2 linked regions of the Caenorhabditis elegans genome follow. The protein of the gene in region 1 purifies or fractionates together with the protein of each later gene. This does not show direct contact. Each region holds a gene or a part of one and is shown on either strand. Other genes may lie near its edges. The genes, in order: ccr-4 and ceh-99.

What was found.
Region 2: the proteins of ccr-4 (region 1) and ceh-99 fractionate together in Caenorhabditis elegans (co-fractionation; one large-scale study listed by BioGRID). This does not show direct contact.

What each region holds. Positions count from the first base shown.
Region 1 is NC_003282.8:12,363,263-12,380,803, forward strand, and holds ccr-4 (poly(A)-specific ribonuclease), read left to right. Parts: upstream 1-2,011; 5' UTR 2,012-2,282; coding exon 2,283-3,078; intron 3,079-5,132; coding exon 5,133-5,201; intron 5,202-5,521; coding exon 5,522-5,986; intron 5,987-6,035; coding exon 6,036-6,563; intron 6,564-7,188; coding exon 7,189-7,364; 3' UTR 7,365-8,590; downstream 8,591-17,541. Other genes in the region: wdr-46 (WD repeat-containing protein 46), read left to right, coding at 8,993-9,373, 9,421-9,686, 9,953-10,736, 11,106-11,417; Protein atz-1, read right to left, coding at 11,583-12,015, 12,367-12,444, 12,496-12,791; thn-1 (Pathogenesis-related protein 5-like), read left to right, coding at 16,842-17,099, 17,152-17,541.
Region 2 is NC_003280.10:12,512,148-12,528,362, reverse strand, and holds ceh-99 (Homeobox domain-containing protein), read right to left. Parts: upstream 8,383-16,215; 5' UTR 8,152-8,382; coding exon 7,990-8,151; intron 5,873-7,989; coding exon 5,525-5,872; intron 5,479-5,524; coding exon 5,383-5,478; intron 5,340-5,382; coding exon 5,202-5,339; intron 5,158-5,201; coding exon 5,002-5,157; intron 4,956-5,001; coding exon 4,857-4,955; intron 4,804-4,856; coding exon 4,723-4,803; intron 4,427-4,722; coding exon 4,334-4,426; intron 4,286-4,333; coding exon 4,217-4,285; intron 4,169-4,216; coding exon 3,941-4,168; 3' UTR 3,885-3,940; downstream 1-3,884. Other genes in the region: srx-119 (7TM GPCR serpentine receptor class x (Srx) domain-containing protein), read right to left, coding at 18-116; srx-118 (7TM GPCR serpentine receptor class x (Srx) domain-containing protein), read right to left, coding at 495-648, 697-896, 1,438-1,601, 1,919-1,976, 2,026-2,191, 2,241-2,401, 2,452-2,535; srh-70 (Serpentine Receptor, class H), read left to right, coding at 10,505-10,862, 10,911-11,101, 11,155-11,610; srh-61 (Serpentine Receptor, class H), read left to right, coding at 11,950-12,292, 12,343-12,533, 12,905-13,378; srh-69 (Serpentine Receptor, class H), read left to right, coding at 13,648-13,990, 14,035-14,225, 14,279-14,731; srh-73 (Serpentine Receptor, class H), read right to left, coding at 15,047-15,535, 15,592-15,782, 15,828-16,197.

The sequences.
Region 1 (17,541 bases):
AATTTTTATTCGAGATATTTCCAGGTCGTGTGAAGAATCTATCACCGTCACTGTGGCAGTTGACACATCTTTCAGCTCTTTTTCTTAACAACAATGGACTGACACGGTTACCACCGGAGATTGCTCAGGTATCCGATTAGTGTGGAAATTATCTCCGGCGGTGGCACTTATTTTCATCGATTCTACAAAATGATCTAAACTTTGATGCTCCAACATTTTTCATTCAAAATTAGTGTCAAAAGATAGAAAATCATTCAGTTTATCTGAAAATAATATTTATTTCACCTGAAACATTTATGAAAATGCTCAAGAATTACCTGAAAGTGGCAAATTACCGGAAAAAAATTCGATGAATCGATACGACCATTTTGATTAATTTCCTGAATGTTCCAGCAGAAATTTTTTTTTTCAGAAAAAAATTTTTTTTTTTAAATATTTTGACACTAATTTCAAATAAAAATTGTTGGAGAACATGGGGCAGTAGGACATTTTGTAGAATTGCAAAAAAAAAGATTACCAAAAAACAAATCAGCATAATAAATATTATATTCTTTTATTCTTCATCTAAAATCTTCTTGAAAAATCCAATTTCATACCAAAAACCCATTTTTCAGTTGACAAATCTGACAATGCTCGACATATCGAACAACAAGCTCCGCTCACTTCCCACAGAACTTGGTGATATGATCAGTCTTTGTCATCTGTACCTGAACAATAATCAACTCCGTGTGCTGCCCTATGAGCTGGGAAAGCTTTTCCGGATTCAGACGCTCGGTCTGCAAGGAAATCCTTTGTCGCCGGAAATCAGCAAGATCTATCACGAGACCAACGGTGCGCAAAAGATATTGCAATTTCTACTCGATCACCTGACTAGTAAGTTTACTTTTTTACTTTTTGCTGTCAAAAAATAAGCGTTCGGTCTAGTGTTTGGAGCATAAAAACAAGATGCATCGTTCATCAAAGATTCCCGACGTCGACCTAGAATATATGATTTGAATTGACGTGCTTTTCCCTCCTGAATGTCTGACACATCTCAACTTTCACTTGTATCCCCCGAATGACGTAATAGTAGATAATTCTGCATTTCTTATAGTTTATTCACAATTCCCTCACTTGATTAGACAGAGAGGATGTTCGTTATCACTATTATCCGTGTTAGTTTGATTTCCCATGCCACAAACTACTTTCTCTTTCGGGGCATGTTTCTTCTTTCAAGTTGTGAAAGTGGTCATGAAAAAAGCATTGCCATACCAATACTTGAAGGGTGTTCGTGTTCATAATCGTAATCGAATCAGTAGAAAAAGTAACAGTGTAAACCGAGAAAATGGTGTTGAAAAATAATGCAGACAAGTTTTTAACTGGTTTCGTATATTTAAAAAATAGGTTCACAATATCATATAGTACGAAAACCAGTAGGAAACAAAATTGTAATAGGCTCGTAATAATTTATTATGCAGTACTATATGATTTTTGTGACACTACCAACGAAATGGCTCATATTTCCAAGAGAAAAAAGTGTTACCTGAAAATTAGAAGAACGAAACTAATTTTCATTAAAATGAAATAACTTACTCTAATAGTAAGTAATTCATTTTTTCATTCCGAAGAACACTTATCTCTTAAAACCTCCACGCAAATCTCGACATATCATGTTTAATGTGCCGGTGTGTCCAGCCATTCATCCAGTGTACATGAAAACGTTCTAAAAAAGAAGCGGCACACGAGTGTGAGAGATAAACCATAGAGACGCAGCAATGGTGGCGCAGTGACCACCACCGCCATACGTATACACGGTTTTTAGTTCGACGCTCGTCTGCGACTCATCGTCTCTAGCACTATTTAGCTCTTCGCTTATGATCATCTGTTCTTCTTACGTCCCCCGAGTCCTCCTCATATTCGCCTCGTTTTTTTCTACACGGCTTCTTCTTTCTCTGCCGTTCGTCGTTGCGAGGAAGGATCGAACAGTCTCCGCCCATTTCGGAAAAGTGTCTTCCCTCGTTGTATACGCCCTCCCCTTCGTGTGTTTGTGTCTCTGCAGCAGCCGGCGGCAGAAGCACATTGCATGAGTTTTAAACGGGAACAAGGCTCCGCCCTGACTAGCTTCCCATTTTGAGAGTATTCCCCCATTCTGCCTTTCACCAACGTCCTTTTCTTTTTACATCATATATTCCACCTGCTTTCCCTTTTCTTACTCCATTTCTCTTTTTTCATCCTTTAAACGTGCACCAACTCTGGCCATCCAAACTTACTATTCGAAAATGTACTGAAGTTCCCTCTGAAATATGGCCGACAGTGGAGACGGCGAATCGCCATCGAGAAGAAACTCCAGTGGAAAAAGATTTGTGAGACGAGCCAGAAGATGGGCTGAGCTGCTACAAAAACGACAAGGACGTCGAAATTGTGAGGAGAGCGAAAATCTATCAGCTCCGATAGATGCAAATTTTCAACAAGCTCATAAACATACAGCATTCAATAATCCATCGTCGCATAATCGAAATGGAATCAAGGATCAGAAGTATAGACCACCAGAGCCACCGCATGTTTATGATTATGTTGAAATGGCTGCTTTAGGAAGTGGTGTGATGGTTGTAGATGATGATCTTAATTATGAATTTCTGACACATGATGAATCCCGTCAAAAACAACATTTGGGACACACTCGAAGCTTCCCAATTACTATACTTCAATCAAGAAAACATGAGATTTCATCTGGATTATCACCAGCTTACGGATACAATACTCATCAAACTTGCCAACGAACCATATCGGATGCATACCATTATCAGGCTTATCATCAACCATCATATTCCAATCACCACACTTCTTGGTACGAGTATCAACAACCGTCAAATGCATCATTTATGAAACCGGTAGACAGTGCTCTCACACTGATAACCAATGATCTCTCTATGGCAAGTATCTCGGAAGCATCTACAACATCGCCGAGTTCGATCTCGAATAATTCTGAAGAAGATGTTTCACCACACTTTTTGAAAATGTCTTCTTCATTTCCAAAATCTTCAAGCTTCCCCTATCGAACAATGTCTGAGTCCCAATGTTTTCCATTCAATTTTCATGGTAAGTACGTGTTCATTCCCAAAGTTCAATAGGATTCAGCTAGTGAAAGTTGTATTCACTTGAGACAAATTTTACTACTATCTCACCACAATATTCATAAAGCTTAATCTTCTCTTCCTTCTGTTTCTTTTCTCCGATAGTTTTTTTCCAGATTGCTATCGTAAACATGTTCTGTTTTCACTTATCTATAGACAGTTCACTTAGATTGGCGGTTTTTTAGCTTTGACAAGCGTGACTGAAATAAAATTGTTACGAGCAATTGTGATTATAAAATATTCAGGTTGAATCTTGAGTTTGTTGGATTCCTAATTAAATTGTAAAATTTTAATCTCGAAATTTCCATCTATTCGATCTCTCTCCATATGTCTTCTACCTGAATCTCAGCTTCAGCTTCATCTTTTTCGCCGTTATCTCTGCGCATCTTTGGCATTGAAAAGTACGATCGGTCGATGGTGATTACGCCATATTTTGACGTAAGAGTGAGAGAGAAAGAGAAGCGGACGACAAAGAAGATATGGGGCGAACGTGTACGTTTATTTGTAGCATAATGGCAGGAAAAGGATGGCAATGGCAACGGTGTGTGTGTGTATGAGTGTGGACATCACGGCTTGACGGTAGTGATGGTGTGTGTATGTCTTAAGCGTTAACAAGTTTTTGTCGCCATTTTCGGACGGTGTCACATCCTTCCACATCTTCAGTGTGAATATGGTTGGCAGTTTAGAGACATTGGAAAGTCGGATTGTTTTGGTATCACTGATTGCGCGAGGACTGGCAGGAAGTGATATTAGAATGGATAAGCATTGACCAGGTGATTTGTGAGACACTGGAAGCTGTTTTCTGAGATAATTAGGAAAAATCTGATAGAAATGTTTGCAATGTTTCTTGATTTTCTCCGAAACAATAATCTAATAAATCGCAGTTTTTCTAATTACGGAGCACAGACATGTTCGAAGCATCGAAACAATGCACAAAAACGTGTTATTTACAAATGATCCTTTCACTCTCTCTTGAAGTGTGTTCTTCTCCCCCTTCGGATCACCAGCTCACCACCATCTATCCCAACAGGCAAAGAGAACACACCGTGTTTTGACGACGGTGAGAAGAGTGTTTTGGGTTGCCCTCCGGTGCACGATATGTTTACACACGGTTTCGAGCCGTCCGAGTCGATGGATGGATGAGGCCACCGGGTGGTGACGGCGCGTAGAACAAATTGGTCGTTTGAACATGGCGCTTGTGTCTGGGAATTTTTGTATGGAAAGATCAAATATAGAGCCTCTAATTTTCCACTTTGCAAAAACCTGAATATGAACAAAAAGAAACTAGTGAGGGATTTCAAATTACTGTAAAAAGTCAACTCCTCTTTTGATTATCCATATCCTCAGTTCATTTTGGATTTCCGTCGGTTTAGAAAACTGAAAATGAGAATAGAAAAAGATGAATAGGGAGAGTGCACTTGACACATTTCAATATTGGCGGCCTCTTCATCTTCAGTCCCGTTGATCGAACAATAAATTAAAATGGCACAGATGGTTATGCTGGTAATAAGTGTTTGAAAGAATTGAATAAGGGAAATCAGATAAAGAAGTTTTGAGTTCATAGTTTAGAGAAGCATTATTCATCCAAGTTTCAAGTTTCATAGAACCAATAAAAAATCACAATATGGCCGATATAATACTAGTGACCGCCCTTTTCACTTCTCCCGTATGTATCTTCGATGAATCCGCTCAACTAGTCATATTGTTTTTTTTTTGTCGCTTTCTGTGAGCGGTCATGAATAATTGCGAGTCGTTCATCGTCTTCTTCTTCTTTTTTTATATTCTTTCTCTTTTTCTACGCTTCGTTCTTTGTCACGAACGTTTACATAAAGAGACAGGGGGACGACGACATCTCTGAACGTATAATATTTGCCTCAAAAAGGAAATCGAGTGGGATTGAACACAGTAAAGCCCTAGGATGTCTAGTTAGGCCATCATAAAACGAAACGGAAATTGCCGGGGAAAATGTGAATATATTTTTGATGAAAAGGGAACTCTGTACAAACTATGAAATTTCAGTTAACACTCATCCTCCACCGGAACGAAACTGGGTAATGATCCGACATGCAGATCCGGAACGACCAATTGGTGAGTGAAAAAATATCAGAAGCATTGTTGAGCAGAAATTTCTTTGGAATTCATTTAAAAAAAAGCAGAGCAATATTTTTACTTTCTGAAAATAACCTTACTTTGAAATGAAATTCTGTAAAGTTGCTCAAAAACTGATTTATATTTGAGTCGGTTTTTGAGAAATTTGTAAAAAATTTAGAGCGATAGAGAAGTTATTATTCGAAAGTACGAATATTTCTATATAATTTTCCAAAAAGAAAAATGTGCCTCACATCTCTGATGCTGAATTTTCATTCAATTTATAATTTTTGTAGTACAATTAAATATTTAATTTTCAGCCACATTCACCGTTCTCTGCTACAATGTGCTGTGTGACAAGTACGCTACGGTCAATCAATATTCGTACTGTCCTTCCTGGGCTCTCAACTGGGAATACCGAAAAGGGCTCATCATAAAAGAGATCCGAACCTACGAAGCAGATGTGATCACGCTGCAAGAAGTTGAAACGGAACAATTCCGAACACTTTTCCAACCTGAACTCAAGCAACTTGGTTATGCTGGCATCTTTGAAGCCAAATCGCGTGCCAAGACAATGGGAGAAGAGGAACGAAAGTATGTGGATGGATGTGCAATCTTTTGGAAAGTTGACAAGTTTGATATGGACAAGCAATATCTGTTTGAATTTTCAAGTGTGGCGATGAAGAAGGCGTCTACGAGTGAGAATATGCTCAATCGTGTCATGCCAAGAGATAATATTGGATTGTGCGCTGTGCTGAAGATCAAGGAAAGCGTTTACGCTAACAGTGAGTTTTTTTTCTAAATTAAAAAAAAAACATTTGTTTTTTTTTGCAGAATTCCTGGGACGGATGCAAATTCCAATGAATGACAACGTGGTCGGAAATCCTCTTGTCGTCGCGACCGCTCATATTCATTGGGATCCTGAATTCTGTGATGTCAAATTGGTACAATCAATGATGCTTACTCATGAAGTATCAAGAGTACTCGAAGAAGTATCAAAGAAATATCAGATCACGCAACAACAAGTTCCAGTTCTCATATGTGGTGATTTCAATTCCCTTCCGGATTCTGGTGTCTTTGAATATCTTTCCAAAGGACAAATAACACGTCGTCATATGGATTTGAAGTCGTTCCGTGATGATTCTTGTCTTGAAAAGTTCACCAACTCGACGGACAAGAATGTGATCAGTCATCCCTTGAGGCTTGACTCGGCTTGTGACATTAATTCGATACCATTCACAAACTACACATTAGATTTCAAAGGAATGATTGATTACATTTTCGCAACACCACAGTCACTCGCGAGACTTGGAATACTTGGACCATTTGACCCACAGTGGGTTCAGTCGAATAAGATTCTTGGTGAGAAAATATACTTTTTTAAAAATAGTTCTCGATTTTTTGCTTGTTTAGATAAACTTAAAAACCGCCCAAATTAACGAATTTTGCAATGAGTCTTCTTTAAAAAAAAGTTTCTACGACGGTTCAAATTTTCTTTTAAAAAATGAGCTGATTTTTGCTAAAATCTCCAATTTTACTATTTTTTTATGTCACAGTGCTCCGTAATTAACTTTTATTTGATGATCATCCTTTATTGCATAGTTTAGTCGTTTGTCTCAAATTAGCGAAAACTACAGTAATTCTATAAATGACTACTGTATGTCTCGTGTCGATTTACGCTAATCATTTATTAATCTATAAAATATAAAAAGAAAACACAAAAATGGAAAAAAAAAACTAAAAATTAGAGGACAATTTAACATCGAAATTATTTTCCGACCGCTGCGACTCGAAAAAGTATCCAACATTGGAGTTTTAGCTAAAATTTGCCTTTTTCAAATATTGAAATCGACATAAAAATTGTTTAAACATTTTTTGAAAACTTTAATTTTGAAATTCGTTTATTCATGCGCATTCTGAGTATAATAATGCAAACAAATTTATCGGAAGTTCTCTTTTAAAAGTTTTCTAATTTCCTGTTTTCCAGGATTCCCTCATCCACATGTAGCATCTGATCATATTCCAATTATGGCTCAATATGCAATCATACCAACAACACATCAACGACAGCAACCACTTCAACAGGCTGGTCCTGCAGCTGGTGTAATTGGAGGAGGATTTCCATCAACACCTTCAGGAGCCCAACCATTCCTGAGGTGCTGACCCCATCATCATCTGCAATGTTCTTCAATTCGTGTACAACTGGCTCTCCCTCTCTTCCCTCACCATTCTGTCTCATACCTCAATTTGTGTGCTCTTGTATCTGCCCCACTCTCTCCCTCTCTTCATATAAAAAACTTACGTAGAGTCCTTCGTAATTACGATTGATAACTCGTTTGAATTGTGATATATTTGAATTATGTTCCATCGCCGCGCATTTTCATACTTTTCTTTTGTTCCTACGAGTTCTCCCTCTTCCCTCGATCCGACCCTTTTATTTCCCTCACTTCATTTCTTATCTGTTAGTTTTTCTTTTTCTCCTTTTGATCAGTTTTATTGAGTATATTTTGGTAGCCCCTGGGGTGTTCGATTCTTTTTATTCCACTCAAAACATTTTCATATTTTTTCCGTTTTTTCGATTGTCTTCGATTTCTTCATGGAAGAGTCTATTTTTCCATTCTATTCCATTTAGTCCCCCTCTCGTCTCTTTTTCTTCTCTTTGTAGTAGATCCCCTCTGTTTCGTGACTCGTATACTGAGGGTTTCACGGCGAAATGGTCTCGCAACGATCGGTTACGGTGTAGGTGTGCAGTGTGAGAGGAGGGAGAGAGTGTACGAGAACGTGAGGCGCAGATTACTTTCAGTTTGAAAAAAATAATGAAATCTCGTTATTTGTGCAATTCGATCTAGCTTTTTGCTCCCGACACGCTTCTTTTCATTCATGAAATGTGTTCGAAAAGAAATGTCGGAAGCGATCAGATCGAACATGCAAGATTACTGAGATTGAATTTTTTGTATCGAATTTTTAAAAAAACTCGATGAGTTTTCCAGAAGCCGGAGGTATACGAGATGCGCGCGATGCTCGCTGGTCGAGTTTCTCTACCTGACCTCTCCTCTCGTTGTGTGCTATTTCACCGTCTATATTCCAATAACTACCTACAATAATACCTTATTTCCGTTTCTGGTCCTATGTATAGTTAAAGACTTACTTTTTGGCATTCTTCACCCTCTGCTTCCTTCTCTCTCTCTCACAAACTCTCCCACACTCTCGTCCAAGTTGCGTGTTTCTGCTTTGAATTCTTTGTTATCGGTCTCGGATATAACGTTTCTCCTATTGTATTCATCATCTTAATTTTTAAAACTATTAGTTAAACAAAAATAAGAACAATATTTCAAAAATCAACTTTCCCCTTTTGTCTCATCGAATGAAACATTTTTTTCGTCATGTAACTTGTTCTTTTTACATTGAAAAATGGAGCACAAAATTATATACAGGAATTTGCAGTGTGAGTTTGCAGTGGTTTGCAATGGATTTGCAGTGAGAACAGGAATTTGCAGAAAGAAACATTTTTTAAGAAAATTTCCACTCTGAGACTCCTGACAGGAAAAAAAATTTAGATTAAAGAAAACTAGAATTTGAACTACCGCAAAAATTAGGGATACGGTAGACAAAAGTGTGCAAACACGCCAGCAGGTTTTTGCGGACGCGGCATTTTAGATGACGACAACCGTTTTAGATGAAGATTTCTCGTTTTGTTTCTTGCATTCGCTGTTGCCTATTTAAAACATATATTTTCTAATAGTTTTATATTACTTTTTGTAGAAATAATTAAAGTTAATTATTTTACAGTAATGCCGCCAATCAAAAGATCCAAGCCAGATGGTGGAGTCAAGAAAATCTCGATCACGGCTACCGATGTCACACCTGCAAAGGGTGTGGAGGAGAAAATGAGCTGGAAAGAGTATAAAAAGATGAAGCAGCATACTGGCGGTGGAACACGAAATAAGTTAAAGAAGAAGCAGAGGCCTCCAACTGAGAATACAGAAGGAAGAGCTAAAAAGCCAAAAGTGTTAACAAAAGAGCAGCTTGAACGACATGATACAGGAGCAGACCAAATTGATCCATCTTCGATGCGTTCAAAGCTTCAACAGGAAAAAATGAAAGTGACGAAGGACAAGTTTCAGAGAAGAATTGAAGCTACCGCTAAAGCCGAGAAACGTCTTGTTGAAAATGTGAGTTGTTCCATTGCTACTCAAATATTCACAAAATATAATTTCAGACCGGATTCGTAGCCCCCGACGAGGAGGATCACTCGCTGACCTACAGCATCCGACAGAAAGATATCGCTGAATCAGTTGATTTGGCTGCAGCCACAAAACATTTCGAGTTGAAATTGCCACGATTCGGACCATATCACATTGATTATACGGATAATGGAAGGCATTTAGTGATTGGAGGACGAAAAGGACATTTGGCAGCACTTGATTGGCAAACCAAGCATCTTCATTTTGAGCAAAGTGTGATGGAGAAGGTTTCCGATGTGAAGTAGGTTATGGCGTCCAAATTTCTAAAACTGTTTTACGCTGAGACCTCTTTTTTTCGCTGATTGAAGTGCTTTTTTGTGCCTATAAGTCACACAATACCACCGAATTTGGGCAAAATGCACCTCAATCAACTTAATAAAAGCGTATTTTGTTAAAAGGAAATTTTCAAGATGATTTTGTAAAAAATTCGGTAGCTTTAGAACATATGGATGCTAATTACACGTTTAATTACATTTGTTAAACATTAATAACAACGATTAATTTCAGATTTCTTCATACGGAAAACTTCATCGCAGTCGCCCAAAAAAACTATACTTATGTATACGACAACTTGGGTACAGAACTTCATTGCCTGAAAACCATGTACGACACAGCTCGCCTCGAATTTCTTCCCCATCATTTTCTGCTCGTCGGCTCTTCGCGAAATTCGTTCCTTAACTACGTGGATGTGTCTGTTGGAAAACAAGTTGCCTCGTTTGCAACGAAATCTGGAACTCTTGATGTGATGTGTCAGAATCCGGCAAATGCCATTATTCACACTGGACACACAAATGGAACCGTGTCCTTGTGGTCTCCCAACTCAAAAGAACCACTTGTCAAGATTTTGACTCATTTGAGCGCAGTCAAAGGAATTGCTGTTGATGATCAGGGAAATTATATGGCGACCACGGGTCTCGACAGGAAATGTCGTATTTGGGATGTTCGAATGTTCCGTCAACTTCATGCATATTCACTACCATTTGGAGTGTCGAACGTGGCAATTTCTCAAAAAATGAACGTTGCCTGTGCAGTTGGAAACCATGTACAAGTGTTCCGTGGAATGCATAATGGGACGTGTAAAGAGCCGTATTTGGTGCACAATTGTGGAGGTGTGGTCACTGATTTACGATTTGTTCCATGGGAAGATGTGCTCGGAATTGGACACGCAGGCGGATTCACGAGTATGTTGGTGCCAGGGGCAGGAGATCCGAACGTTGATACGCTCAGATCTAATCCGTACGAAACGAAATCACAGAGAAAGGAAAGAGAAATCAAACAATTGTTGGATAAGGTATGGAATTTATTTTATTCGATTTTGATATTTGAAGTCTGGATGTCAAAAACTCTATTTTTTATGATTTTATCATGAAAATCGAAAGCACCTCACCAATAAAAAAGAAACCTTTAAAAAATTTTCTCCAAAAAAATCTTGATTTCTCTATATTTCATGAAAACTTTAGTTACAAAATTATGTTCAATCTCGAAAAAAATGAGATTTTTTTTGAAAATTTATTTCAGACTACTTGGTTCTAAATTTCACAAAAGTTTTCCACGGAAAATTCGGAGTTTTCTTATACTACAGCAATTTAGAAGACCCTTCTTTGGCAAGCGAAAAAAATTTTTGCAAAAATTGTAATGCTAACTAAATTCTAATTTTCAGATTCAACCGGAGCTCATCAGTCTTAACCCAGACGACATTAACAAGGTCAATGAGGGACTTCTCGAGTTGGAAGAGGAAGAACGAAAGAAGATTCTCTACATTCGTCCGATGGCTGTTCAATATACGCCACGTCACAAGATGCGCAGCAAGAAGAGTGGTTGGAAGATGGAGGCTCGTAAGAATATTGTCAAGGATCAGATTCGAATGGAACGGAATATGGAGAAACATGCGGTGGAGAAGGAAGTTTTTGAAGCACCGGAAGTGGATGACGAGGCTCCGAAAAAGAAACACATTCTGGATCGTCTCAAATAGAAGGATAATCAATTTTATTTTTTGTTGTTGTTGATTTTGCGTTATTTTCGTTTTGTTTTTACTGAATTTTTGAAATTATTTCTTTAAAAGATTTGACATTTGGAAATTTATGAAACGAAGGAAAAAACAAACAGTAAAATAAAAAAGTAGAAACTAGTATGTATTTTATTCGTAATCTTCCTCTTCTCCCTCCTCATCATACTCTTCCTCATCCTCAAAGTCTTCTTCAACCTCGTAGTTCTCCTCCTCTTCATAATCTTCTTCCCCTTCCTCTTCTTTCATAAGATCGTCATTCTTCTTCTGAAGATCCGCAATGATCTTCTTCTGGGCTTCCAACTGCCCCGTCGTCTCGATCATCATCGCCTGGATCTTCAACGTGAGCGCCTCTTCGAATCGATGCTTGTCCTCCAGCTCTTCAAGCCGTTTCATATAGACTTCAGTGAGCTTGTTCGCATCGTCGACCTGTTTCGTGAGGCTCTCGATGGCCATCGTCTTTTTCTTGGATTCTCTAGCAGCACTGTCCAATGCATTAATCGTCAATCTCAAAACACCCTCTGGTGGAATACCAGTTTTCGCTGCTGGCATCAAATTTTTGATTCTGAAAAGTGTTACTTTTTGCATTTGTGCTTGTTATTATGGGGACGCAAAAAATGGTTTTTTGAAATCATCAAGGCACAAGCGCGCTCCAATGATGGGTCTCATTAGGTATTGGCAGGAAACTCGTAAATTCAAACGTTTTTGTTGTTATTATCGATTTTAATGTCGAAATGGTCTTTAAAGATGCATTTGAATAAGGGTTTCTCGTGTATTTTACATGATTTGTTTCGACATAGAAATAGTGGAAAAACTCTTGAAAAAATTTGAATTTCTGATTTTGCCTTCGCCAATACCTAACGAGACCCAACTTTAGAGGCGTTGCGTTTTAACTTGGGTAGGCTCCGAAACTCACCGTTTTTCATTCTCAGGATCTGTGCTCTCACCAAGGTTAGCCACAAGTAATTCGATTCTCAAGAATGTCTGATATGACCTGAAAAAATAATTCGATAAATTTTAGGAACTCAAATTCTTAAAAACTCACTCATCAATTTTCGCATCCCTTTTCTGCTGTGCTTCCCTCAAAAGTTTCTCCAATCGACCAATTTCCTCATTTGCTACTTGTTTTCCTTCTTTCGTCTCCTTTTCAAGATCCGAAATTCTTTCCGTGGCAACTCTCAATTTCTCACTCAAACATTCCACATATTCGACATTCGAATCAGTCTTCTTCGCATCGAAAAGCTCTTTTCGTTGCTCCAAAAACTTTTCAGTGAGCACTTTGAATTGCAAGTTCTTCGCGGCAAGCTCGGTTTGCACATTGCGGAGTTCGATCGAAGCCATTATTTGAATATTACAGACAGAAAAAGGGTGACAACCAGTCGATAGGGACCTGTGCGAGTGAAATGAGACAAGAAGAGGAGCACTGCTAATAGATGGTATCTACCGTAGCAGTTGACCTTTCCAAGAGGTAGACACGTCATCATTGTCTGACATACTATGTTTGCTCTCTCTCTCTCTCTCTATATGGTCTCGAAGGGAAGGAGATTAGGTCATAGGAGACGTTTATTGGAATGAAACACTTCATTAAAAAGGGTAATTAGTGAACTAGATGAGCTAAATGCATATTCAAATTTGTAAAAGGCCACCTAAAATGTTATGCATTGTCAAGAGAAATGGCAGTACTACCTAAACTGTGGCTGTGAAAATTATCTGGATTAATTTTTTGAAACCTAAAGAACGGTCATTGATAGTCAGAACTTTAGTTAATATATTTTTCTTGCATTTTTACATTTTTTGGGTAAAAAAAGGTGTCATGTTCAAAGTTTCCATTAGTTTTCAATATCTGAAGCTCTTTTTACCAAACGTTGAATCAAAAATAGGTGACAGACATTATTCCAATTTCAATTACCAACTTGTATTCTAGGCATTTTCTTTCTGCTACAAACTTTCTGCAACACTTTTTTTTGTGAATATTAACCAAAAAGTTGGCATGACAGACGCCGAATTAAATAGTTGATTGGTCAGATAACTGTATCTTTTTTCTCATGTTATCAGTGAAGCAAGAATCAAAAACTTTCAATAAACCGAAAATAGTTCATTCGAAAAAAAAATTATCTAGAAATTTCAGTTAAGTTTTTGGTAAAAAATTCAAAAATTCAACAAAATTGAACGGTATACGACGAAGGTTTCAAGCACACGAACATTGTTGAGTTGTCAAATGGATAAGTGTATGCACCTGGACATGCATTCTTGAACATCTTCGTTGTAGAGCTCATTGTGCATTTATCTGGAGAATCATACTCCCCACGGCAGCATTCCTTATCAGTTCCATATCCAAGACATCCAGATTTACACCCAACAGTGTAACCTGAACTACTCTTCACTGCAAGTTCTGTAGGGCATGCAGCATTTACATCAGAGATGCATCCACCGGCTCTTTGACATCCCAACCCATCAATTAACATTGGGAGATTGTAACCATCGATTAGATTAACTGCATAAAAGTCTCTTCCAGCCCAAGATTTCAAATTGAATTCTGCGACAGATGCGGGTGGAGTTCCTGTCCTTCCATTGCATTGTTCTGCGTTCTGGAAAAAGTGTAAAACTCTCAAACCTTTTTCATTTTTTTTCAAGACTTCGGGTATTCCCAATTTCGGATGTTTTGAAACTTATTCAGTATATGCGTGTGAATTCTGCGAAACGTTTGAAACTTCCTGTCAACATTTACTGTTGAGAAGCTTGCCCAAAGTTTGGCAGAAAGTAGCAAAAATTTGGCAAAAAGATTATATAGTTTCGACGACCGTAAAACGTGCCCAGAGTTTGACAGAAAAAAGACCAAAAATTTGCCCGAAAATGAAAATGTATTTTGGTAATAGATTTTGGAATATTCATCAAAAAAAAAATGATGTACGTCCTTGACAATTCACGACTTTCAGATATTCTAGAACATCTAAAGTACTTTTTCGTATTTCCCTTTTACACAATTTTTTGGCTGAACTTAAAAAATTGTTCAAAATGTTTTGATCAAATATCCCCAAGTGTTTATTTGTTTCAAAACTTCCATAGAAACTTATACTTTCAAAATGATACACTGTTAAAGTATAGATCTATAGACTTCAAAAAAGTTACATTCAAACTACGGAAAACTCACCAAACAAGTTCCAGTCTCACAATTGAAATCTCCATCACATCCAGTCCGTGCCCAAATCTTTCCATTTCTCCAATCATCATCCACATTTAAATACTTTGCCGCCCACGCATCTATTATTATAGACTACGATTGTCCGGCTGTTCACAGTGAGGAGCAGAGATATAAGTAGAATCCAGATGGAAATCATCTGAAATTTTAAATAATTGCTGATCGATTATGTTTATAAAAATTGTTTGCAAAAATATTCGTAAAAGACTACTGTAGTCAACTTCCCGTAATGTAAAGTGTCTTCCTTACATACTTTCCTTTCCGATAACAAAAGTTTGTCCAATTTTGAACCAACTGTAGCATTGTTCCTTAAATACTCCTCTAGCTGATCTAAAGACCAATCGAGTTCGCACCGCCCGTTTATTTTCAATTGAACATTTCCTGCAGAAACTCCACTGCTTTCTGTACCCATCGCATTTTTCTCAATTCATGGAGTTGATTCCATTTCTGATTACCTTCTGATTGGGACAAATTCGTTATCAGTGAACAGTTCAAAATGAAAGTAAATACGAAATGAGAAGATTATAAAGATTTTTAAAAAGAATTCACCGGAAATGGGCAGAAGAAAACCACGTGGATCGATCAAACGGAAGGTTTCCAACAACTGTTTGTTGGAACATTTTGGATCTAGAGGTCAGATACACTACTGCTACCGCAAAACTCTAATTTGATGACCCAATCTTAGGCGTTTCCTATTTTTAGGTTAACCAATGATTTATGTTTGCAAATAATTTTCCTAACAAATTTTTTTCGGTGCCATGAAATTTCCGTTTAAAAAATTTTATGGATTCCTTTACTCATTTAAACTTCCATACATGTGTAAAAAATTAAAAATATATTATGCAATCGTTTGAAATAGGAAACGGTCAGATTTTGACTTTTGTATGGCAGGTATTCTCCAGAAATTACATTTGCAGTCAATTGATACCGCTCTTCCACATGTTGAATGAAATATGTGATTCCATCTTTGTTCGGAGTTTGTGTTCATTCAGAGATCGCTTTTCCTCGCTTTCGATATGTATGTAGATGTGACTAAAAAAACTTAAATTCAGAATTTCAGAAGTATTCGCTCCCGGAATTCAAACTTTAACATAAATTGAACTCAAACTTGCTCTCTCAAAACATAAAACATTTTTGGTATCAAATTGTGGCTCTAGAACTTTTTAACACTTCTTTCCAGGCGCTTGTTATCTATCACGAGAAGCAATACTGAAACCACAAATCAATTTTATTGATAACAAAACGAGAGTCGTCCAATTTTTGTATGTTCTAGGAAAAGTGCATCTGAAAATAATAGTCTATGGAATTGTAATTTGCTAAGATTAGAACAGCACTCGAATCTGACCCTGGCTAAACCTAAAGTATTAAATACAAAATGTTCATATGGAAATATTGAATCAGAGTTCAAAATTGGATTGTTATTAGAGCTGTGTGGGTTTGTTTACAGTCCTTCAAAAGTTCACATGTCGACATAAATGTCAAATAAAATAAAGCTGCGGAAGCATGACTGGTTGGCGAAAACAAGTGGCAAATATGGTTTTTAAAATTTTCCAGTAAGGCAACAGTTCCATGGAGGTTTCAGGAAGTGACAGGAAGGGGATAAGTCTCGATCGGGTAGGAGATCTATTTTACATACTTCAACTGATATTTAGAAGGCTAACCTTTTTACATGTTTGGAAATCGAAAATTGCAGTTTGTTGCTGATCGTTTGTTTCCCCAAGAATATCACAATTTTGAAAGTTGGGGTACTGTATTTCCAGGTTCTTTTCAAACATTTTAAAGACAACCAATTTATAAACTTCAATCTAGAAAAATATAGTGCAAGACTTACGAGATGAACACTGTCTCAATGTTATTTTACAAGTACGGATTCCTTTCAAAAACAAATGAGCAAGAGATCCAATTCCTCAGCTTATACACAAATATTACTCAAGGGCCAAACAAGTTTGCTGACTCACTTCATCTTCTTTTGACTTCCTATCAATCACCCCCAGTCTCCACCTTTCATTTCCTAAACCTTACGGCCCAAAAAACAGAAAATTGAAGAATCAGAAATTATCGCGCGATGGGCGGAGCTTTTGTGCTATAAAAGAGCCTGTGAGCCAAAGAAATTAAACAGTTCAGTTGAACATTCAAGTTTTCTGCTTCTTATCATAGCTCCTCAAAAATATTCAATTTTTCAGTTCTCAGTAATGGCGCTCATCAAGCTTACTCTCGCTGTACTTCTTCTGGCTCTCGGAGCCGAAGCCCGCAAAATCACTATCTACAACAAGTGCCCATTCACCATCTGGCCAGGAATTCTCGGCCCCGGAAATCCATCTGGAGGTGGTTTCAAGCTCAATGCTGGACAATCTAGAGATATCAATGTCGATGATGCATGGACTGCCGGAAGAGTTTGGGCAAGAACTGGATGTGATGGAAACTTCAACTGTGAGACCGGATTCTGCAGAGTAAGTGCATAGCTCAATTTTCCAGGATTAATTTTTTAGCATGAACTTTCAGAACTCGGAGCAATGTAACGGAGCTGGAGGAGTTCCACCAGCATCCCTTGCTGAATTCACATTGAAGGCTTGGGGAGGACAAGATTTCTATGATGTATCCCTTGTCGACGGATACAATCTTCCAGTTCTGATTGACCCACATGGTGGATCTGGATGCAAGCGTGCAGGTGGATGTGTCAAGGATATCAATGCTGAGTGCCCAGCTGCTCTTTCCGTTAAGGGACACAACGGGAAGACTGTCGCCTGCAAATCTGGATGCCTCGGATACAACACAGATCAAGAATGCTGCCGTGGAGCCTACGGAACTCCAGACAAGTGCCATCGCTCTGCAACTGCTCAGATGTTCAAGGATGCCTGTCCAACTGCTTACTCTTATGCCTACGACGATGGA
Region 2 (16,215 bases), on another chromosome or scaffold:
ATTCTGAAGCGTCTCACTAAAATGAGCATTATTGCCGAAACAGTGCGGGTGTTGGGGGTAGAATATTGAGAATGTAGAAAATCGTCCAAAAAGGAGGAACTGTTTGAAGATGACATTCTGGAATTGAAGAACTACTACAGCCCAGAAGTAAACGTTTATAACATTTCTAAGAACTTTAAAAAAAAGGTACAAAATGCGTGATGAGCATGCGTGAAATGGCTCTATATCACGCTTTTATCGCAAATTATGAAGAAGGAAGTGTTCTTTAAAGTAACTCAAGCGGAATGAGGTTTTTTGCAAAATTGTAGCCGCCAAAATTTTTTTGTTCCTAGTGATTTTATAAATCCGAAATTTTGACATCACCATCCACAATTTTAATTGAATTCTGCGAACCTACATCAACTGTGAGAATTTATTAATGAATCAAAATATTATTCGGTACTGGAAAACAAAACAAAACAAAACAAAAAAGTGTTTTTTTTTTTTGACAAATTCTATGGAATTGACTGCGATTGCCGAGCATAATTTCGCTGGCCAGTGGACATCGATCTCTTCGGCACGATGAACACATTACTTGCAGAACTCTTCATTCGGAGCATTTTCTTCACTTCTTCATTGATCGTTTCATTGATGGAAAATACTACGAACCTGAAAACAACAACGTCTTAAAATTGGAAAGCTTTCAGCTTCACCTACCCCTCCAGAGTTCTCAAAAACACCATTGAAAATGATAGAGTTATGAATTGAAAAAATAAATTTGGAAATAGGTTATAGGTTATTGTAGAGTTCAGTGAGTCAACTATAATAAGGATGCTTTGAACAATTGCTTGAATTATTAGTTTCCGATTTTTTCTATGGCGATTTGCAAGTTGAGCATTTGAAACGCGGAAATTGGGCTGAAAATGGGAAATGAAAGAAGAAGGGGGCTCTGAACTACAAACTAGAAAATACAAACTACAAACTCCAAACTACAAACTATAAACTAAAAGTTACAAACTAAAGCATTTTATTTCTCAATAATTGTAAATTAGAGAAAAAAATTTCTCGAATTTTCCAGAGGATTTCAGAAGTTTCGAGAATTGTTCAAAAGTTTCCAGAACTCTCCAAATAATTCAAAAATTTTCTAGAATTTTTTACAAGTGTCTAGAAATTTCTAGCACAATCCCGAATATTGCAAATTTTTTTTGGAAAAATCAAAAATTGAATTTCGCTGGTGTCAACATCACATTACCACTTGAACACTACTTGAATTTTGAACTGGAAACTATAAGTTATAAGCTACAAACTACAAAGGAAGAACTACAAACTACAAGGTAAAAACTACAAACTACAAACTCTAGACTACAAACTACATTCGCTAAAAAACATAGAACCAAAAGATTCGAAAAGATTTTTGCTGCCAAAACTAGCCCCCAAAACGCGGAACCAAAAGCTCACGGAATGTATGATCAACTTGATGAAAAGCAAAACACTGCAACACGTCGTTAAGGCGCAAATCGTCATCATAACGACCAAAAACGTCTTTTGCATAATATCAATGCACGGAGTGAACTCGCCGACCCAACCGAGATAGTCACGATTGAAAAGGTAGTGGCAGCCTTCTGGAAATTTAGAAATTTAGGCTTTTATGGTTTGTGGTCTCCTGGGTACTTGTGTATTACATGCCCTCATTTTTAAATTAAATTATATTTTCATTAATTCCTCCAATTAAATTAAACGTGATATACATTTTTCCTCTTCAGGCTTACAAAATGTTATTTCCTAAGCCTAAAAATACGAAAGTGTGGTTCACGTTTTTATTTTCCAAAACTTAAAAAAATAACCATTAAAATGAGGGCATGTAATACACAAGTACCGTCTCCTGTTTCCGGTTTACTAGAATTTTTGAAATGGTGAGCAATAAGTCTTAAACTCTTACCTGGAAAAAATGAAACCAGAAGGATGAAAGCAACAAAAAAAGAAAATCCAATACCGACCTAAAATTTCAAGTTCACCCTGTTAATTCCCTTCAACTAAAAAACTCACATTTGTAGGGTTATACCGATACTTTTTCATGTATAACAATGGAAAATAGACGGCTATGATTCGATTGACGGTTAGCAAAATTTGAGACAGCGGGCCTATACTCCACCCGAACCACGCTATAAATTGGCCCATCGCCGCATTTAGCCAGTGATTTGGAGGGTCTTCACTGCAAAATTTTGTGTATTAAGGATCATATGAAGCTTTGATGAACTTACAGTAAAAGACTTGGAACCGGAAAAGCCAAATACCCAATGCAAACTATACAGCTGCCAAAACTATTGAAGCAGCAAATTTTCAGAAACCCATCTCGTTTTGTAACCCGGAAAAAGGTTGCGATGAAAATTAGCACGTTCATTATAGAGCCAATTATACTGACCTGGAATTTGGAAGCATTTATTTCGTTTTTTTCTAACTCTAGAGCTTCACCACAATTAGCATAACAGCCGATACAGTTCGGGTACTTGGAGTTGAAAATTCCGAATATAAAAACTCGTCCAAAACAGAACTCATTTTCAAGGTAGTTGCAGTGTCCAGTGAGTAAAAATTGCAATTAGCGCCCCCCCCCCCCCTATGCGTAATCTTAGGTGTCACTGAATTTATATTAATATTCTGCCAAAAAAAAACCAATTCAATCAACGCTCAAAAAAAAAGGTGTCCAAATCGCTTACTCACTCATGTATGTAGGAACAAAATGTTTTACATTGCGGAAACCGGGAAATGTCGGGCGCTGCAAAGTTCTACAGTTCACTTTTTTTTTGTCAAATAAATGGGCAAGCTATGGGTAGGCGGCAATTGCCGTTCGGCAAATCGGAACATTGCCGGTTTGCCGATGTGCCGAAAAATTTAATTTTCGGCAATTTGTCGGTTTGCCAATTTGCCGGACATTTTCAATTTCGGCAATTTTCGGGAAATTGCCGATTTGCCGTTTCCGGATATCAATTTGCCGGAAGCGTTTAGAGGGATATTTTTATAAGACGGAAAAACTTAAAACTGTGATTTTTTGAATTTTTTCCCGTTTTCAATTTGCAAAAAACTTTCGGCAAATTCGGCAAATTGGTATTTTGCCGGTTTGCCGATTTGCAGGACATTTCAATTCCGGCAATTTGCCGATTTGTCGGTTTGCCAGAAAAAATCGTTTTCCGCCCACTTCTCGCCTCTTTTTTTCTTAAAATTCCCAATTGTTATAGTTAAAACATCAAGCTTGACTTCCTGATATTTGAAACGTTTTAGGAAACAACAAATTGAAAAAATTCTGAATCACCCCCTCCAAAAAAACATTTTCAATTGTTCAATTAAAGTCACAAGACGCTTCTCCTGATTCTATAGAAATTCGAAAAAATCAAAATGATATAAAAACTCATCAGGAACCTTGAATTTTCATGCAATTTTCTATTCATGTCAAGCCCGATCATGTCAAGCCCAATAATGGTGAGCCTGCCGGAATCTGCAAAAGATGCTGAACCACCATCGGAAATAGATGCTCGTACGATAATCGCTCTTCTCCTCGTTACTGTGATTTTCTGTGTTTTTATTGGATTTGTGGTGATAGTTTTGATTTTTGGTAAATAAAATCAAATTTGGAGTTTAGGTTTTTGTAAAAATTTGAATTTTGCATATTTTATAGAAAAGAGCAGCGTCAAAATTTAAAAAAAGTGAGAATTCTACGACAAAGGCTTTGCCGGTTTCTAAGCTTGAATCGCCTGAAATAAACACAAAAATTGAGCTCACGGAGCAATTTTACCAAAACAAAATAATAATTTCAGAACCATCAAAAATCATAAATCTCAGAAGCCCAGCTACGAGAATTTTTCATGAAGCTATAAGTATGAATTTTGAAAAAAATCGAAAAGAGCCCGATATTTCAATTTCGTTAAAGTTTCATTCTAATTTGTAAATTGTAAAGAATAAATAATGATCACAATGCCACATTTCTAAAGTTCGGCTCCAGCAACTTCATCTGCTCCCCCAGCGCCTTGAAATGTTCCGTTGTGAGACGCGGATTCCGAGCTCGAATTCTGCAAAGCCCTCCGATAGTCTGATTGAGAAAATCGGCCATCGACGAGCCTTCAATCTGCTCTTCTCGAAAGGAAGTCTGCGCCGAGCGGGGAATTATTTGGTCCATCCATTCCATGACTTGGGAGTGCTGAAATTTCTAGGTTTCGGGGATGGAACTTTTGCCTTAAAAACTTACCGTCCAAGACCTCCAATCCCTGTCTCCTCGGTTTCCAGGATCTTGGAGAGAACCATCGATAGGTTCTTGCTGAAATACATATTTGCACTTTTGCGTCTTATGAACCTGCTAACTTACTTTTACTTCCTCCACACTAGCCATTACCCTTACAGCTGGTTCACTGAGAATTGAAGACTCTGGCAACGCTCTGTGTCGTTTTCTGAGTTTAGCCTGGAAAATGTCAAAAGTTTAATCCATTAAGCCCATATCTAGGTTGTGGGACGCTTGTAGCAGGGGTGCGCGGCAACCGATTTTTCGGCAATATCGGAATTTTTGGCGTTTGTCGAAATTGCTGACTGGCGGAAATTTTGAAAACCGTCAATTGCCAAAATTGCCGGAAATTTCCAATTGCCGCGCACCCCTGGATTGTAGTCTCCTTCACCCACTACTTGGTTTCAGACAGGTTTCAGGTGAGCACCAGGTCCCGGAAACTACGCCTACTCCCATGGAAGCCTCAGAAAACTCACATCGCGAGCTCCCTTATTACAATGGCTGTTTAAATTGCTCTCGGCTGATGGATCGGAAGTTGAACAGTGTGGCTGATTGTTCTGAAAACAAAAGTCTTAATTTATTTGAAACTCCACCTCAGAGCTCAAAAAACCTCAATACTCGGAGATCGTGGCTCTTCATTTGGCTCCCGCTGCTCAGTTTGTTTACTTTTCTTGTCTTTCTTGCTTCGAGAAGATGTTGTTGAAAGATCCTTAAACCGTCATGTTCATAGGTATAACGATTGAGCAAAGACTTACGGCATCAGCTCCTGCAGAAGTCCTTATCCTCTTTGTCGCATTTCCAATTGTTTCCATCTCCTTCTGTCGTTCCTTCATTCCAAGCGGCAGCGGGGTACCATTATTTTTATAGGCCTTCATGGCTGTTTCTCTAGCTCGTGTGAACCATCTGCGAATCTGAAAAAAACGTTTTTTAACGTTACCGCTAAATTATAAAAAACCTTTACTCCTTCTATTTGCGTTTTTTCTATGAGTTCAGCTATCAGGCTATCGTTGGGAAATTGAAATTTCGAGAATGTCTCCTTGAAAAGTTTAACAGCGCTTTCAGAATGTCTCTCAAACTTTTCCCTATCTTTTATCTGAAAATTCTTAACTTTTTACTTAAAACAGTCATGTATAGACCTTTTTCTGCGCTAAGTACTCCTGCTCATTTTTCTCCGCATCCTTATGTTTCGAAAACTTTGCTCGTTCGTTTTGTGCGGAGAAGTAGGCCGAGATCTGTAAAATTTGAAAATATACGGGGATTTCATGGAACTAAACTTACATCCTTACTTTCTAACCCTCCTTCCTCTTTCAATCTATTAAGTGTTTCCTTTGTGAACCCTGGATCCTCTGCATATGCTATTTCAAGTAACTTCATCTGGAATGGCAACTCGGCGCCTGTTTTATGAGCAGCTTCAGCTTTTGCTCGTCGTTTTCTGTACCAAAACCAAATTTGCTTCTCATTGAGCCCTGCCTTTTCCGTCAGTTCCTTTGTGAGCTCTCGAGTTACATATTGGTGAGTTTTGAACGCATTTTCGAGAATCTTGAGAACTTCTGTGGAATGTGATAGACCTGGGGTTCCTGTCGCGATTCCTGCGTTAATTCTTCTATTGTAGAACCAGGCATCGAGCTGGAAAAGAGCATGGGGGAAAATAAATAGAATTTAGAAAAAAAAACTAATTTTAATAATATGCAAATATTTCAAATTTTTTGATTTTTCACGTGGTGTCAGAGTGTCTCATTTCGTCTTGATCTACGTACAGTGCTGGCCAAAAAGATATCCACTTTTGGTTTTTTGTGTGTAACTTTTTTCTAAGTGGTTATTTTGTTTTGAAACTTCACCACAGTGTTCACAAAATCTAAAAACACAATATTCATCAAAAATGTTCAACAGATTTTGAAAAAACTTCAGAAAAATTCAAAAAAATCGAAAAACTAGAAATATTGAAAAAACCGAGGTTGCAAGGAAATGACAATTAAAGTACCGGAATATGAGCAATTGGATTTAAAAACAACATAATTATGCTTAATACTTTGTCGCGTATCCGTTTGCATCAATAACAGCTTGACAACGACGTGGCATCGAGTCGATCAGCTTGTGAATAACTGACATGGGGATAGCTTTCCAAGCGTTTTCCAACTGGTTGAATTTGGCATCTGCATTTGAAGCCCGAATACCTCCAAGACGTCTTTCCAACTCTTCCCACAAATGCTCTATTGGATTCAAGTCCGGAGACTGACTTGGCCAATCGAGCAAATGCACACGACGACGTTGAAACCAGGAACGCACATGAAGAGAAGTATGCTTAGGATCGTTATCCTGCTGAAACACGAAGCCACGGCCCACATTTTGAAGTGCCCAGGGTCGCATTGTAGTTTCCAAGATGTTTTCGTATTGAAAACGATCCATAATGCTTTGGATTCTCCTTAGTGGGCCCATGGAAGTGCTGGTGAAGCACCCCCACACCATGACGCTCCCACCTCCATGCTTAACGGTTGGGCATTGATACTTTGGAGAGTACCTAGAGCCAACAGGACGACGTACCCAGGAATTTCCATCACTCCCGAACAAATTGAACTTGCTTTCGTCAGACCAGATGTGTTTAGCCCATTCCTGACGTCCCCAACGAAGATGCGCTTTTGCCCACGCAACTCGAGCCATGCGATTTTTCTTACTGATGAACGGTTTCTTGACTGGCTTTCGTCCGTGTAGTCCTGCTTGCTGTAAACGTCGACGAACAGTTCGTTTACTTGGTACAGGTTCATTTGGAGAACTTATAATCATTTGAATATCCGTGGCGGTCCTATGCGGATCTTCTCTTGCTGATCGGAGGATGTTGCGATCCATCCTATGGGTTGTCACTCGAGGCCTGCCGGGCGAGATTCTCAAAGCGACGGATTTCTAAACATTTATTATTAAAAAATAATATTTTTCGAACTCACCTCAGTTTGGTACTTCTTGATTACTTTCCAAATAGTCGACGGAGAACGTTGAATTTGCAGCGCGAGCATTTTCGTGGGTATTCCTTGTTCGAAGCCAGCTACAATGGCTTTCTTGACGTCCAAGGAAAGATTTTTACACCCAACAGATTTTACCATACCTTAAAAATAATTTATCAACCAAACAAATCCAGTGCAACAAACAGAGTGCGTTTTATTGATAATTCAAAAAAAATAATGAAAATTGGAAAAACGAAAAAATCAAAAAATTGAAATAAAATTCAGAAAAAATCGATAATCATGTAATGTTTGGTCCGCAAATTTGCGTAACATTTCGCTTTATGCACACGGAAAAATTCAAGTCAAATGGATGCTTGAGAAAAAAGTTACACACAAAAAACCAAAAGTGGATATCTTTTTGGCCAGCACTGTAGATCTACAAAAAATTCGGGAGAAGAGACGCAGAGTTCTCAACTGATTTTGCATGGTTAAGAACGTGCTGACGTTACATTTTATTGGGCAAAAAATTCCCGCATTTTTTGTAGATCAAACCGTGATGGGACAGCTTGACACCGCGTGGTTTTGTCAACTTTAAAAAATTTCAAAAATCAGAAGTTTAACAAAAGTTGCCCGAAGTTGAGCGACTCTTAGAGAAATTATTATTAGAACGTTTCAAAAAATTCGGTTAAAAAGATAAGAAGTTCTATTTGTGGCCTAATTTTAGACATTACTATTAGAAAAATTACTATTAGAAAATCAATGAAAAATAAGACAAAAGTTTCTCAAATTTCTAGGAAAAAAACTCACCCTTCTCCTAGTCATATTGAACATTGCACACAACTCCAAATTCCTTTGTCCTCGATACGGACTTTTTGCAAATTCTTCTTCAAGAATCTTGTGTTTTTCCTCAGCAGATATCGGTGCCGTCTTCTTTGAATTTTTTGTATTCCTCGAGTAAGAAGGTGCCATTCTAGTATTTGACAAAAAAATAAAGGCGTATAATTTACCTTTGACAATTTGGAATAATATACCACAAAATAAAAAAAAATGCTGCGTCGATATTACCGGTACAGAGAGTGTTGATAGTTAGAGAGTGACAGACATCCGGGACCCAATGGGGCGGGGCGCGCGGAAGAGACGACGATTTGTCTCGATTTACGAAATGATGACAACGAGGAAAATTTCGTAAATCGACACAAATCGTCTCTTCCGCGCGCCCCGCCCCATTGGATCCTGGATGTCTGTCACTCTCTAACTATCTACACTCTCTGTACCGGTAATATTGTCGGTGTAAACTGGCGTTGTATTTGTCTGCCACTCTCCTCAATTTTCACACTCTTTTTCATATTGCCGGACGGCCATCATTGCATCCAGGTGTACACGGCGGGAAGAGGTCAAATTCAAAAAAGATGAGGTATATATAAAAGGTGATCTAGGAGGTCAAAATTAATATATTCAAAAACAATTTTTTTTGAGTAAAAGGTTAGATATTTGAATCAAAATTCCAACGTGAAAAGAGTGGTGAGGATTGTCAGAAATTGGACGAAAGTTTTTGACAATGTCAAAAACCCATGTAACGCTAACTATCGTTAGTTACTGTTTCATAAAATATTACTGTGCGTATTTTTTACACAATTTTCTAGAAAAGTCCACAAAAATCGGACTGGAATGACCTTTTGGATCAACTTCTTGTGTACACTTTTCCGCTAAATTTAAAAGCTTCAAACAATTTTTTGAACGTCAGGTATGCATATCATTTTAAAATGATGAAAAACTCTACCTTTGTCTAACTCCAATAACTGATTCAACATTCCAAACTCTATACCAATTTGGACAGCTATGGCCTGATGAAATGACATTCTGTGCGTATTTCCTCAGAGCACAACCATCCAAACGGGCGGTTTGGCAGATGCAAAAAAAAACTTACCAGAATATAGATAGGCAGCAAAAAAATTAATTTCAGAATAAGTGAACTGAAAGCGAAACGAACAATGGGAGCGGCGCGGAGCATCCACTGATAAGAGCTCTTTGTCCTCCGGGGCTCTTTGTGTGTTCCTACCAAACGCCACAAAGAAACCCCTTCGCTTATCAGTATCAGCATCTCAGCGCCATCGCTCCCAGTTTTATAGGTCGATTTTGACAGATTTCTGCGTCGAGACTACGTGGCACTGATTGACGTGTACGAGAAAGAAAGGGGCATGTGCCTAGCACTGACAGCCGTTTTTTGAATGGAATAGTTTTTGTAGCAGTGATAAGGATTTTGGGCTAGATGAACGAATATAAGAAGTTTCTGGAAACATTGAAAATCTGAGGGTATCGGGAGAAAATGTAGATTGGGCTCATTGTGCACATAAAAATCATTGTCCTAGCTAGTTTTGTCATCAATTTCCCAAAGCTGTAAAATTGGCCCCTTTGCCGCCGTTTATGTCTTTTTTCCCGAAACTTTGGGACATTTTGTTTAATTTAATTTAATAATCGTTGCATTTCATAGATTTTTTCGGCAGTATTGCAATTTTTTACAGAGTTCAAATTTTCCGAATCGTCTAGTTTTACAGCGTTCACTGTTAAATCAATTTTCCAGCTCACCTGTGAGCCTGTTTTTCCTGGCTTGTTTAATTTGCCCATTTACCTTATTTAGTTTACATGCTTGCTCTTCAGTTTGCCCACTTTGTCCATTTTGCCGGACTTGCCCGATTTGCACTATATATCAGTTTTCTCAATTCTTATGTTTGTCCAACTTTCCCAAACTTGCCATTTCATCCAATTCACCCGATTTGCCCGTTTGCTCAATTTCCTTAAATTCCGTTTACTTCCCAATATTCCAATATTTCTTGCTCGTTTTTTTTCCTCAGTTGGCAGCTTTGACCATTTTCTCAAACACTTTCATTTTGAAGAAAAAAACCGAGAAACCGGCAAACTTGAATGTCAATGTTTTAAATTTCAAATTGACAGGCAATTGATTCTCTTTCTTTCGAAAAGCCTTTTACAGAAATGTACTATCACTCATAAAACTAGTGATAACAAGTTGGAAAGCACCTTGTGATATTTTGTGCTCACAGTTTATAGGAATAAGTACAGGTTTGAAGGGAAGTGGAGACTTGCAGATTTCGGGTTTTCTTCACGGAACTGACTATGCAGTCAATTTTGAAGAGCCTAGAACATTATCTTGTCTATCTCTAATTAGCTCAATCATGCTGCTCATTTCGAATTCCAATGAAAAATAAGAGATATGCTTGTTAGCGCTTTTTTTTGCATTCATTAAACAACGTTCATTTCATGAAAAAGCTTCAGATAGCTTCTGAAAAATATTTTTGTGAATATAATGAATTTAACATTCTACTTTACAACTATTTATCCAATAATTTGCCCTATGGAAAATCGATATTTCGCAACCAAAGCTGGATATACAAATACATGCCGTTCTATTGGAGTCATCTCCCTGCCAATTCACTTTCTAACAGGTTACTGTATTCTTTTCAAGACCCCCGAAGAAATGAGACCGGTGAGGAATAGTCTGATCAATTTGTGGTTTTGGTGCTCACTTTCTCAAATAATGGTCTCTTTTTTCTTCACCCCCTTCTACTATTTACCGTATATGGCTGGCTTCTCCGCAGGATTTGGTACGGACTTGAATATTCCAACCATTATTCAACTGTATATAATTTTTGCCATTGATGCTGGTCAGCTGAAAGTGAGAGAAAACTGCCATAGAATCGTAAAATTTACAGCAAACATGATGGCAGTCGTGATTTTATTCGAGAATCGAAGCAGTTTGATATTTAAAAACAAGTTTCGGATTTCAAAAACTCGAAGTCAAGTGTGTTGGATTGCGAGCAACTTTTTAGTGGGCATAGCCTGCTTAGCCCCTATGACATTTATTATTCCCGAGCAAAACAAAGCGAAGTTAGATATCTTAAAGGTGGGCATTAATTTTTATCAACATACAGTAGACAAATAATAAACGTATTCCAGACATTCCCCTGTCCCACCAAAGAATTCTTCGCAACCTCGACCACCGTATTCACCATCGACCCATATTGGGAGACCTTCATCGCAAACTCCTTCAAAATCACCCGCCTGGTGTCTGGACTTCAAGTTATATTTTTCTCATCGTGTTGCATATACTACCTATGCATTTCAAAAACCACAATATCACTTCAAACTCGGCAGTATCAAATTCGTTCCTTCATTGGACTTATCATTCAAACTTTTATCCCGATTTTATTGGTTGTGATCCCATTGACAATATTTCTGAGCCAGCAGAAGCATGAAGCGTACGACCAGATAAAGAATAATATTACCGGAATATCATTTGTGTCTTACAGTGCTATTGCAAGCATGTCTATTATTTTGGTACATCAGCCTTATAGAACATTTATATTGTCATGTTTTATGAAAGAAACGAAAATTGCGTTCAGTCAAATCTAACAATAAAGAGGATTATTTATACAAACACAAGCACACATAAGTTACTTTTATTGGGCATATTTTCACTGTTTTAGTGAGCATAGCGTTAAACCAAACCACAATTTTGTCAGTGAATTTATCGTTATCCGTTAATGACATTCCGATTCATCAAGTCGTAAGACGTCATACTATTCAAATCTGGTTTCCATGATCAAAAAAACCTCGTCAAGCGTAAAATTTGGTGTCTAGTTGAAAAATAATTAGCTTACTCATGGTCAGAACAGTGAGACGGGACGCCTTTATTAAAATCAAAAATTCAATTTTCGTATAGAATTCTTGAGCTCACTTTTTATTTCGACAATGTCCATTGAGCTGCTCAAACCCATTTGTGTAGTGGAAAATCCATTTCTTGTATCCGAAAATGGTATGAATTTTACATGCGCTCTAATCGGTTTGATATCCCTGCCAATTCAAATTTCGACAATCTACTGTATTCTGAAGAAAACACCGGGGACGATGAGCTCTGTGAAGCAAAGCCTTACAAATTTAATTTTTTGGTTCATAGTTTCCCAAATTATTTTTTCTTTCATCGAAGTTCCTTACGTTTATTTTCCCTATAAGGCATTATCCTTTATTGGGTTGGGCACCCAAATTGGCATTCCCGTTGTTATTCAATTTTATATAATTTTGATTGGAAACGCAGGTATTTTATTCAAGGGTTCGGTAATGTTCAAATATTTCTAAAATTTGCAGGAAATCTCTTTTTCCTTATCATGTTATTTGAGAATCGTAGCAGTTCTATTATACTAAATAGATTGAAAATTGACAAAGTTCCCTCTAGAGTTGTATTTATTTGTGTAAATGTAATTGGTATTTTGAGTTTTCCAACGTTTCAATTATTCAATCTTCAGGATCAGTTTGAGGTGAAAATTGAGGTTTTGAAGGTGAGTGTACAAGTTTTTTCCTTTAAAAAAAATAGTCGGTTACAGTGCATTTACATTTACAGTTACACATCATTTACTATATATAAAGTAGAGTTCCGTCCGTTTTTGTAGTTTTGGGAAATATCAGTTTTGAACTTAAGAGGCTGGGGCCGGTGTATGGTAAATGACATATGCATGTCTAATAGTTTGAAATTCGCCAGCCGTTGGCCGCGCAGGTGGCGCGGTCAGCTGCTGGTTTAGTAATAAAAAAAATCTCGTGAAGTGTCGGCTGCATTTTATGTGGCCCGCAACATGCCAGCTGCGAATTAAAATTTGAACTTTTTTTGTCACCCATGAACCCAATCCCGTATATCAGCAAAATGTTTTTTCAGACCCTTCCCTGTCCAGCCGAAGACTTCTTCGAACCATCAACATTAATATTAGCATTTGACGGTTTTTCGGAAACCTACATTATTTTTTCTTACGTTTTCATGTTCTCTATCGCCATATTTGAGATGACATTTTTCTCCGCATGTTGTATATACTACTTGGTCTTTTCTACAACCACACAAATTTCTTCAACGACACGAAAATTCCAGCTTCGTTCATTCTGGGCAATCACAATACAAACCCTTATTCCGCTATTATTTGTGATTATACCAATTACCGCAACGATGACAAAAGAGAAACAAGGGTACAGTCAGGTGCAAAATAATCAGATGGTGATACTTTTCCTGATGCATAACGGAGTTGCTAGTTTGTCAATTCTACTTGCACATGCTCCATATCGAAAATTCCTGAAATCACTTATTGTTCGGGAGAGGCAAAATTATATTGTTTTTGTTTCAAGGGAATTTATGAAATAAACAATTATCTATTTCATTCTTATTTAATTTTTAATTTTTATTACGCTCTAATATTTTATTACTAAACTTTTTGTAGTTAAAAAAAATTAAAGAATGAAACCCAGCAAGAAAAACAACGTCACTTGTCCTGAGCGTCTAATGCGTTTATAATGTGCATCTCTCTCTCTCTCATTATCTCATCTCATTATCCTTTAGCCCATTTTTCCCGCATATCAAATTCTTTATTTCCTGAGCTATGTTATTTGATCTGTGGTTATTTTAGCCGAACGATGAATTTGTCAGCATACCCTTCAATTTGTTCCCCAGAAAGTCGATTTTTAGCATCAAAAGAAGGCTTGGCTCAGGTCTGCCGTACAATTGGAGTGGTTTCTCTACCAATTCATGTGCTAACAGGCTACTGTATTCTCTTTAAGACCCCAAAAGAAATGAGTAATGTGAAAAATAGTTTGATCAATTTGTGGTTTTGGTGTACAACTTCTCAGATTACTCTTTCATTTTTCTTCACCCCATTCAACTTTTATCCACATAGTGCTAGCATCTCAGCAGGATTTGGAACAGATCTTCATGTTCCAACTTCAGTGCAATTCTATATAGTTTTCGCGATCAACTCCGGTAAGTACTGGTTATAAACACTTAAATTTTGAATCAGTTTTCAGCCATGTTAATTTCAATTATCCTATTATTCGAAAATCGAAGCAGTATGATATTGGAAAATAAGTTCCGTTTCTCAATAAATCTGTATCGAGTTATTTGGATTTTCCTGAACATTCTTGGCAACTTCGCAGTTTTCACTCCAGTATTTCTTAATCTTCCGGAGCAAGGAAAAGCTATACTTCATTTATTGAAAGTGAGTGTTTCACTTTGTAGTTTGTTGTTTATAACAACAAAAAAATTTTTCAGACAATACCCTGCCCTACCAAAAAATACTTTCTGGAACCAAGTGTTGTGTTCACCCCCGGCACATTTTGGGACACCTACTTAACATCATCGTTCAAGCTGATATTGTTAGCCACCGGCTTACAAGTACTATTTTTCTCCTCCTGCTGTATATATTACCTATTCGTGAAAAGCGGAAAAATCTCAATGTCAAATCAAACTCGGCGACTACAAATTCGATTTTTCATCGGAATTATCATTCAAACTTTTGTTCCAATCCTGTTGGTCTTAATTCCGTTTACTATATTTCTAACCAAAGGACCAGAGTACAATCAGACGAAGAATAATATTGTCATGATTTTTTATGTGGCCCATAATGGAGCTGCAAATTTTGTAATTCTTATTGTACATCAGCCTTATAGAACATTTTTGAAATCGTTTTTTATTAGTGAAGTTCGAAATGCTAGTTTTTTATAAAGTGTTAAACTCACTATTAATGGAGACTTCGATATATAAATAATACACGGGGTTCTGGCCTTCCTCATTGAATTTTTCGCGCTCACATTTAGTTTTACAACAAGAACCGAGCCGCGACGCGACACGCAACGCGCCGTAAATCTACCCCAGATGTGGCCGAGCCAAAGTGGCCTAGTTTTGGAAACTCTTCCATTTCAACAGACCGTAATGCGTCGGCCGCTCCAAAACATTTCGGCCCGCAAACTACCGGCCGCTATAAGACATGAATTACTCGTAAAATGTCGGCTGCTCCGAAATATTTTTATTGAAATATTTTCAAACCCTCACAACCAATGAAAAATTACTAGAAGCATGACTAATTTGAACTTTTTGCTCTTTTCTGAACATTGACATCAGAAATTTCCGATAAGGAGCATGCACTAACAATATCGCAAGACTCGCCACTCCACTATGACTAACGAAGGAAATTGTCATGATACTATTATTCATCTGATCATGCACGTTACGTTTTGATCTATTCAACGTAATCATCACAGGGATCATGATGAACATTATCGGTATGAAAACTTGAATAATTAAGATGAAAAACGAGCGGATTTGGAGCCGCCGAGTTTGAGCCGAAACATGGGATGATTTGGATATGAAGAGGTAATAAATACATGTTGCAGAGAAGAATAGAATTTGAAATGTTGTCAATGCATTAATTATACTGCGAGCTCTGGTTTGATAGGTTTCCCAGAAGCCACCGGAAGCGAAGACGAGCACTGGTTCCAAGAAGAATTCTTTGGTCGGGCATGGGAGAGTCTGGAATAAAAAAGGTTGTACTTTTAGAAGCGGCCGACACTTCACGGTACCACCACCTTCAAAATGTGCATTTTTGCCGCTGTCTGCTCTGGAAGATTGAAATAAATAGGGGTTAAGGGGAAAATTCTCCCGAAAAAGTTTACGGATATCCATATAGTTTTATAGAAATTTCGTGATAATTGAAACTTGTTGCCCTTGATAAAATTACTCCGATTTTTGAATAGCATAATTATAGATACTTGTACAACTGGAAGGTTTCAAAATTTTCAATTTATATAAATAACTAACTCACCAGAACTTATCGTGAACATTGTGAACAACTGAATCGCTGTTGGAACGCCTAGATCGGAACAAAATCCAGCGGAAAATGAAGCCATATACGGGGAAAATGAATAGGGAATTATGAAAAATGAGAACAAGATCTGGGATATCGTGTACCAGAAATTCAAATTCCCTAAACTACCCATCACAGGCTTCATGGTTTTCGGCGTTTTTCTCAGAATACAATAACCAGTGAATATCTGAATTGGCAGAGCTACTAGCCCAATAATGTTGCACGTTAGAGCCAAGCCTGACTTGGAAACTAGAAATCTATCATCAAGTGAGCAATTTGTGTTGTAGAATGTCAAATAATAGTTGTATAATGGCGAGGAGCTCTGCATGAAATAATGACTGAAATT